2 linked regions of the Saccharomyces cerevisiae S288C genome follow. The protein of the gene in region 2 binds, or shares a complex with, the protein of the main gene of each other region. Each region holds a gene or a part of one and is shown on either strand. Other genes may lie near its edges. The genes, in order: SEC72 and SEC63. A codon is read from its position in the direction of its gene.

Evidence for each region.
Region 1: the proteins of SEC63 (region 2) and SEC72 are in contact, whole or in part, in a cryo-EM structure (PDB 7KAO), measured with the Saccharomyces cerevisiae proteins. Residues at the interface, in NP_014897.1 of Saccharomyces cerevisiae: Pro367 (codon at 1,614), His390 (codon at 1,545), Thr391 (codon at 1,542), Gly393 (codon at 1,536), Lys394 (codon at 1,533), Thr397 (codon at 1,524), Gln520 (codon at 1,155), Lys521 (codon at 1,152), Asp522 (codon at 1,149), Gly523 (codon at 1,146), Lys549 (codon at 1,068), Phe587 (codon at 954), Arg589 (codon at 948), Thr600 (codon at 915), Asp603 (codon at 906), Ile604 (codon at 903), Thr605 (codon at 900); in NP_013395.1 of Saccharomyces cerevisiae: Ile138 (codon at 2,008), Glu157 (codon at 2,065), Arg160 (codon at 2,074), Ala161 (codon at 2,077), Glu164 (codon at 2,086), Arg165 (codon at 2,089), Leu167 (codon at 2,095), Ala168 (codon at 2,098), Leu169 (codon at 2,101), Tyr190 (codon at 2,164), Asn191 (codon at 2,167), Gly192 (codon at 2,170).

Annotation. Positions count from the first base shown.
Region 1 is NC_001144.5:718,959-721,966, reverse strand, and holds SEC72 (Sec63 complex subunit SEC72), read left to right. Parts: upstream 1-1,596; coding exon 1,597-2,178; downstream 2,179-3,008. Other genes in the region: Ran GTPase GSP1, read left to right, coding at 537-1,196; GCD7 (translation initiation factor eIF2B subunit beta), read left to right, coding at 2,505-3,008. UniProt on the Saccharomyces cerevisiae protein: Acts as a non-essential component of the Sec62/63 complex which is involved in SRP-independent post-translational translocation across the endoplasmic reticulum (ER) and functions together with the Sec61 complex and KAR2 in a channel-forming translocon complex.
Region 2 is NC_001147.6:804,312-808,980, forward strand, and holds SEC63 (protein-transporting protein SEC63), read right to left. Parts: upstream 2,713-4,669; coding exon 721-2,712; downstream 1-720. Other genes in the region: peptide alpha-N-acetyltransferase subunit NAT5, read left to right, coding at 66-596; OSW1 (Osw1p), read left to right, coding at 2,960-3,796; TRE2 (putative zinc metalloprotease), read right to left, coding at 3,943-4,669. UniProt on the Saccharomyces cerevisiae protein: Acts as a component of the Sec62/63 complex which is involved in SRP-independent post-translational translocation across the endoplasmic reticulum (ER) and functions together with the Sec61 complex and KAR2 in a channel-forming translocon complex.

The sequences.
Region 1 (3,008 bases), on a different chromosome or scaffold from region 2:
AACAAACAGAACCACAAGCTGAACAAGATCATTATTTTTGGCTTTCTTCCTCTCATCTTTTTATATTCGAATCCAGTACAATAAAGAAAAAGCAAAATACACTACGCACTCTTTGTAATCAGCCACACAAAATGCAGAATTTATTTTTTAAACAAAAAATACAATTGTACATAGACACGTCTTTATCTTTCCTATTACTACTATTCTTTTATTTCAATAACTATTACTTTCTAAGTATGACCTACGCTTCTTTGGTAAATAAATAATGATCCGTTTATGAAGGACATGCGTGGTTCGTCACCTTAGGATAATATCGCTCTGGACGAAAGCTCATCCCACCGAGATAGAAAAAAAATTTTCGTTTCTTTTTTCTTTGGCGAAGATTTTGAAAAATTTGAACTGTATGATCAACTTTTCCTCACCTTTTAAGTTTGTTTCGTTTTTAAACAGGAAGAACTGCTCCTTCAACATTTTTCCCTCAATCGATTTTTAGTCCAGTACAAAAGGAAAATCAAATAAACTCATTTATATTATAAATGTCTGCCCCAGCTGCTAACGGTGAAGTTCCAACATTCAAACTAGTTCTTGTCGGTGATGGTGGTACTGGTAAGACCACTTTTGTCAAGAGACATTTGACCGGTGAATTCGAAAAGAAGTACATCGCCACCATTGGTGTCGAAGTGCATCCTTTATCCTTTTACACCAACTTCGGTGAAATTAAATTTGATGTCTGGGATACTGCCGGCCAAGAAAAATTCGGTGGTTTAAGAGACGGTTACTACATTAACGCCCAATGTGCCATCATCATGTTCGATGTTACTTCCAGAATTACTTACAAGAACGTTCCAAACTGGCACAGGGATTTAGTCCGTGTTTGTGAAAACATCCCAATTGTCTTGTGTGGTAACAAGGTCGATGTCAAAGAAAGAAAGGTCAAGGCCAAGACTATCACTTTCCACAGAAAGAAAAACTTGCAATACTACGATATTTCTGCCAAGTCCAACTACAACTTTGAAAAGCCTTTCTTATGGTTGGCCAGAAAATTGGCTGGTAACCCACAATTAGAATTTGTTGCTTCTCCAGCTTTAGCCCCACCAGAAGTCCAAGTCGATGAACAATTGATGCAACAATACCAACAAGAAATGGAACAAGCTACTGCTTTGCCATTGCCTGATGAAGATGATGCTGATTTATAAGGGACAAACGAGAACAAGCTTTCTTTTTTCCCTACCCTAAACTGTATACATATTTACATTCATCTCGATATAGAAATTCAATAAAAATCCACATGATTTTGAAGATTTTATAATTGCAACAAGAAAACACAAACTAACTGGTACTCCTGTCTTTTATAAAACAGATTTAAATATATAACAAATAGTTGAATGTGAATATGCTGTGATTTAAGTATATTTAAACGTATTTGGCTTGTCTAATATTATATTTTTTAGATCGTTTATGGATCGTTTCAAACGGATGTAGGAGCACACGTAACAATTAGATTATATCTTTGAACATAAAACCAATAGCCTTAAAATCAAAGAAACGTCTCCTTCAACTTGCGTTAAAGGCATACCAAAGCAAGCTTATTCAACCATGGTTACCCTTGAATACAATGCAAACAGTAAACTGATCACTGCGAGTGATGCTGTTGTTGCACTATCTACCGAAACTAATATCGATCAAATAAATGTTCTCACTACATCTTTGATTGGAGAAACCAACCCAAATTTTACACCACAACCGAATGAAGCTCTAAGCAAAATGATCAAGGGTTTATTTGAAAGTGGTATGAAGAATTTACAACAAAAAAAATTGAATGAGGCATTGAAGAATGTTTCTTTAGCAATCGAAATGGCACAAAGAAAAAGAGCGCCTTGGGAAGCTTTTGCTATTCAGCTACCAGAGCTACACTTTATGCTTCGTAGTAAAATAGATTTATGTTTAATACTCGGAAAGCATTTAGAGGCGTTGCAAGACTTGGATTTCTTACTTGGTACGGGACTTATCCAACCAGACGTATTTGTCAGGAAGGCGGACTGTTTGCTAAAATTGAGACAGTGGGAAGAGGCTAGGGCAACATGCGAGAGAGGTTTAGCTTTAGCCCCAGAGGATATGAAACTTAGAGCCCTTTTAATAGAAACTGCAAGAAATCTGGCCGAATATAACGGTGAATAAGGTGCATAACCGAAGATATTTTAGCCTTTTCTTGATATGTCTCTATGCTACACACGACTACATAGCAAGAAATTTTAGATAGATTCAAAAACACATAGCAAGCCCATTATCATATATACTAAGGAATAGCCTTTATGAAAGGCTTTGAACTATACAGCTTGAGTATATGATACCTCTGCTTCCCAACCGCAAGCTTTTTTTCTTCGTGATGCTGAAAAAAAAAAATGGACATAGAAAAAACCTTCATAAATGAAACAGACCATTCATTACTCGTGCGGAACCAGTAAACACAACACGCCAACTTTCGAACTTTTGCCCAACATAAGATGTCCTCTCAAGCATTCACTTCAGTACATCCGAATGCGGCAACATCTGATGTGAATGTTACCATTGACACTTTCGTTGCTAAGTTAAAAAGAAGACAAGTGCAAGGTTCATACGCCATCGCCTTGGAAACTTTACAACTGTTAATGCGATTTATCTCTGCAGCTCGTTGGAACCATGTTAATGACCTTATTGAACAAATCAGAGATTTAGGTAATAGTCTAGAAAAAGCTCATCCTACTGCTTTCAGTTGCGGTAACGTAATTAGAAGAATACTGGCTGTTTTGAGGGATGAAGTAGAAGAAGACACTATGAGCACAACTGTCACATCCACATCCGTTGCTGAACCTTTGATTTCCTCTATGTTTAATTTATTACAGAAACCGGAGCAACCTCATCAGAATAGAAAAAATAGTTCAGGGAGCTCTAGTATGAAAACCAAGACTGATTACCGTCAAGTAGCCATTCAGGGTATCAAGGATCTTATAGATGAGATAAAAAACATT
Region 2 (4,669 bases):
CTTTTTCACAAATTAATCCGTAACAAACAAATTGGCAAAGACAATTGAAGGGAGTAGTGCGAAATATGGGCCGTGATATATGCACATTAGACAATGTTTACGCTAACAATTTGGGCATGCTAACCAAACTAGCTCATGTGACAGTACCAAACTTATATCAAGATGCCTTCTTCAGTGCATTATTCGCTGAGGATAGCTTAGTTGCAAAAAATAAAAAGCCATCTTCGAAGAAGGATGTACATTTCACACAGATGGCTTATTACAGTGAAATACCAGTGGGTGGTTTGGTTGCTAAATTAGTTCCTAAAAAACAAAACGAACTATCTCTCAAGGGCATTCAAATCGAATTTTTGGGCGTGTTGCCTAATTATAGGCACAAATCCATCGGTTCAAAATTACTGAAGTTTGCAGAAGACAAATGCTCAGAATGTCATCAACATAACGTGTTTGTCTATTTACCAGCAGTGGATGATCTTACAAAGCAATGGTTTATAGCTCATGGCTTCGAACAAGTGGGCGAAACTGTCAACAATTTCATAAAAGGTGTAAATGGCGACGAACAAGATGCTATCTTATTGAAAAAACACATTTCTTAACAGATGGCTGAAAAATTTTTTTTTTTTTTTTGGTTTTGCTTTGTATACACATGTATCTATTTTTATAAAGATGAAATATATACGTCTAAGAGCTAAAATGAAAAACTATACTAATCACTTATATCTATTCTGGTGATTCATCATCTTCAGCTTCTGTATCCGTATCGATATCAGTATAATCGCTAGCATCACTTTCATCATCACTTTCGGTTTCGTCGTCATCAGTAGAGTACTCATCATCCTCCTCAGAATACACCTCTACTTGTTCCACTGCAGGAGAATCACGAACTTTCATATTCATGGTAATATCCAAATCTGTAGTGAAATAATCTGTGGATTTAACGATTACTCTAAAAAAGAAATCACCAACAGTTTCAGGTGCAGGCTGACCTAATGGAATTTTTATGGTCCCGATTTCCCAATCATTTATATCGAATTTTTCGTGTTTGGTTAAATCCATTTTTATCCTCTTATCAAAGAAATCTTTGTCATCGTTCAAGTTCTTGTAAGATAGCTTTTCAATGATAATTGGCGTTTGAAGTATTTTACCATCTTTTTGAGAACTTACCAGACAGCACCAACTCCCACGTCTCTTTGTAGGGAAAAATGGTGCAAAGGAATATGGGACGAGTGGCTGTTTACTCATCATAGCAAATGGATCTCTTTGAGATTCAAAATCTTGAGGTTCTGTTAAATTTTCTTCAGGAATTAAGCTAGTTGGTATCAATGGCTGTTTAGCAGAACGAACCAGTACTTTCAAAGAAATGTATGGGGTAGATGATGGTGTTACTTGGTTCTCACCTGGGACAAGGAAGTCTGCCTTGATGATCTTTAGATTTGGAATATGCGATGCAACTCTCAAAGTTTCGTTTAACTTTGCTTGATCCTTTATTCCAAGAACCTCACCAATCTTGGCATCTTCTAAAGTAAACAATTTACCTAATGTATGAATATCTCCGGTTTTGGTAATAAAGTGCTCTTTATCTACGTTCGGCAATTGAAGGATTTGACAGTTTGGTGTTAATGGTACAGCCTGAACAATACACTTGAAAGTATTGATTGCACCCAATGCAATATCTAAATTTCTGAATCCACAAGCAATATCCAATAAACCGTGTAACAAAGAGTGACATTTGGCCACTATTCTAAATTTCGCATTGTTAAGTTTACCACTATCTCTGCGGTTAATATGATCTTGCAAAAGTTTTTCAAAATCCGTTGGTTGCAAATCCGGGAAGAATTGTTTAAATTCATGAGCAAATGATAACCAGTGTAAGATCAAATCTGTGGTGACAATCTCAGATGGCTTGTAATTGACTAAGTTACTAACAAAATTAGAAGCCGTCACATTATGTATTCCCTTCTTAGTATACGATTGTGTTCTTGCCCACCATCTACTAACAAAATATGGCAAGATTAAACCTAGTAGCGCAACATAACAAACCACTAATAATGGAGATGCACTTCCATCTACCAAAAATCTTGGTAGAGCGATACCATGTGAAGTAGATTGTGGGCCATCTGGATGACCGTATTTCAAATAGTTTTGCCTAACCAATTCGTCAGTAAGGGATTCGTAAGCCTTCGTAATCTGAACATAAGTTTCTTCCATCACACTTTTCTCATCAGGTGTTAGGCCCTTTGCTAATTTATCTGGATGAAATTTAACAGATAATTTTCTATAAGCAGATTTGATGTCTCTATCGGAAGCACTAGTAGAGATACCAAGGATTTCATAAGGATCAAATAATTTTGTAGCAGCGTCTTTAATCGCGTCATTACTATTAATCCTTTGCAGAAGAATTGCAACTAAGATCCAACCCACAATAATTATAATATTTCTCCTGCTCCATATTTTGGACTTCTTATTACTATTTTTATCAAACTTCCTTCTAAATTGTTTGATTTCATCACTGGTGTATTCTTCATTCAAGTTCTTGAAAACTTCCTCATTAAACTCCTTACTCTTCCCTGAATTCCCATCTTCAGCATTGGCCCCAAAAAAAATTTGGTATATTTGAAGCAGTGTCATAGGCCCGACGACCATCAAGAGCCCCGTTAAAATGAAGGACGGCCACGTCTCACTAGCCTCATCATACTCGTAATTTGTAGGCATTGTGCTGTAATATGCAGTATATTTATTTTGTTGCGAAGGCCTTCTTTGGTCAATTATAACTGACTATTGTTCCAGTCGCATCTTTTATTCGTTCAGTGATCTTCGACGTGTTCAAGACAAATTTTTCAGAAAACGCCTTTCCGTAACGAGTGACCAATTCGCGTTATAAGAGCGATTGTGTCAGTAATGAAGTCAGATTGTGACATTATAAAGCTAAGACGTTAATAACTCAAAATAGAAAAGAAGCATGAGAGCACCACCTTCACCGAGAAAGTCCAAATCTGGTCATTTTTTTTACCTATATTTTCGACTGTGTCAACTGTTCAGTGGCCGGAAATTAAAGAGGAGGTGGCATGTCCACAAACTTCACATTCACCAATATAATACTCGCTGGAACTTGAGCCCCCTCTCCGAAATACACATTGAGGACATGATAAATGAACCGTCTGGACTATGTCCAGGAAGTTCCAAAAAGAAACCACTACTGATTGCAAGGTTTCCCAAGGGTTGCCAAGAATCACCAAGGGTATATGTACTGCAAAGGAACAATTTGTCTCGTTTAAAATTAAGCAAAAGAAAATATGCCCTAAGGTTCTATCACAATGAAATTTTTGGCAATAATTTAAAGAGAAAAGACGGAAGCATCCACAAAGTTGAACACCAACAGTGCGCAGAAACCGTTAGAAAGATCAAGAAAGTCACAGCAAACCATGCTGATGTTAAAATAATATTTCACGATAAAAATACTATAAGAAGTGACAAATTAGGGGGTAGGAGTAATAAGATGCAGACTAGGCCTAGTGTTCTTGAAGAGGATGTAGAAGAAGAAGTCTCTTCGGTATATATCAGATTTTGTGACGACCATTCCCTGAGAGTTAAAGATTATCACTCTTTGCACAGGCATTCTAAAAAATCTTCTAAAGAAAAACGAAATAATCAGGAGATTGGAAAATCTAAGTTGCTTGGGAAGCTTTTTGAAGAGGAAACATCGCGTCAAAACAAAGGTGTAGAGAAGAAACTAGATACGATTGTGATACAGAAATTTCAAAATTATCCTATTGTCTCCTTCTCTCGTGTCATTTAACAAAAAGATATATACAAACATAGGATACTAAGAGGAAAAGCATCCCAAAAAGAAGAAATGCTTGCATGCCATGTATTACATAATTAAAGAAAAAATTTTATTAACATACTTCCTTATACTTACAATATGTATTCTTTCAGTTCAATTTATTTATACCCGATGTCATTAGTCTCTTCGACAAACAATGCAGCAGACTGATGGAGTACTTTGCCAATAAGGTCAATTTGTTCTTGAGCCCTCTTCCAGTCATCATCGTAAATCGCATCCATCACTCCTGGAAATGTCCAGAAATCTACATTTCCACCATTTTTAGATTTATCCTCCTGTATCAATGTTGGTCCGAACAAAACGTTCTTATAAAATGATCTATTAGGTAGACCCGCCGGAGAGCATGTTCTTCTACCAATATTAGTCAATTTTTTATTCCATGTCCACCTATTAATTGAAAGTAAGGAGGGCTCTATACCATCCCCATGCGACCATACTATGTTCTCCCAACCTTGAGTCCATGACGCCCATTCGCTACCGATTTTCTTCCAAAATAACAAACCTTTGATTATTGATGTGAAGTTTAGTTTTTCAGGGTATGCTTGCTCTAACCTTTGCAATCTTTCATCGATATCTTCAACATAGCTTATTATGTCAAAATGAAGTAGCGGGTCATCAATCAATTCCATACTAATATGTAAAAGATATACTAGCAAATCCTTGACAGATTGTTGGTTCTGTTCGTCTTCCAGAATCTTCTCAACACGTTCAAATTTATCCTCAGATGTTTCAGTTGGGGTGTCACGGTTTCTCGTAGAATCAGAAGATATTACAGATACAGGAATTCCATTTGCCAGAAATGGAGTCCAGTCACCATAGTGCTGT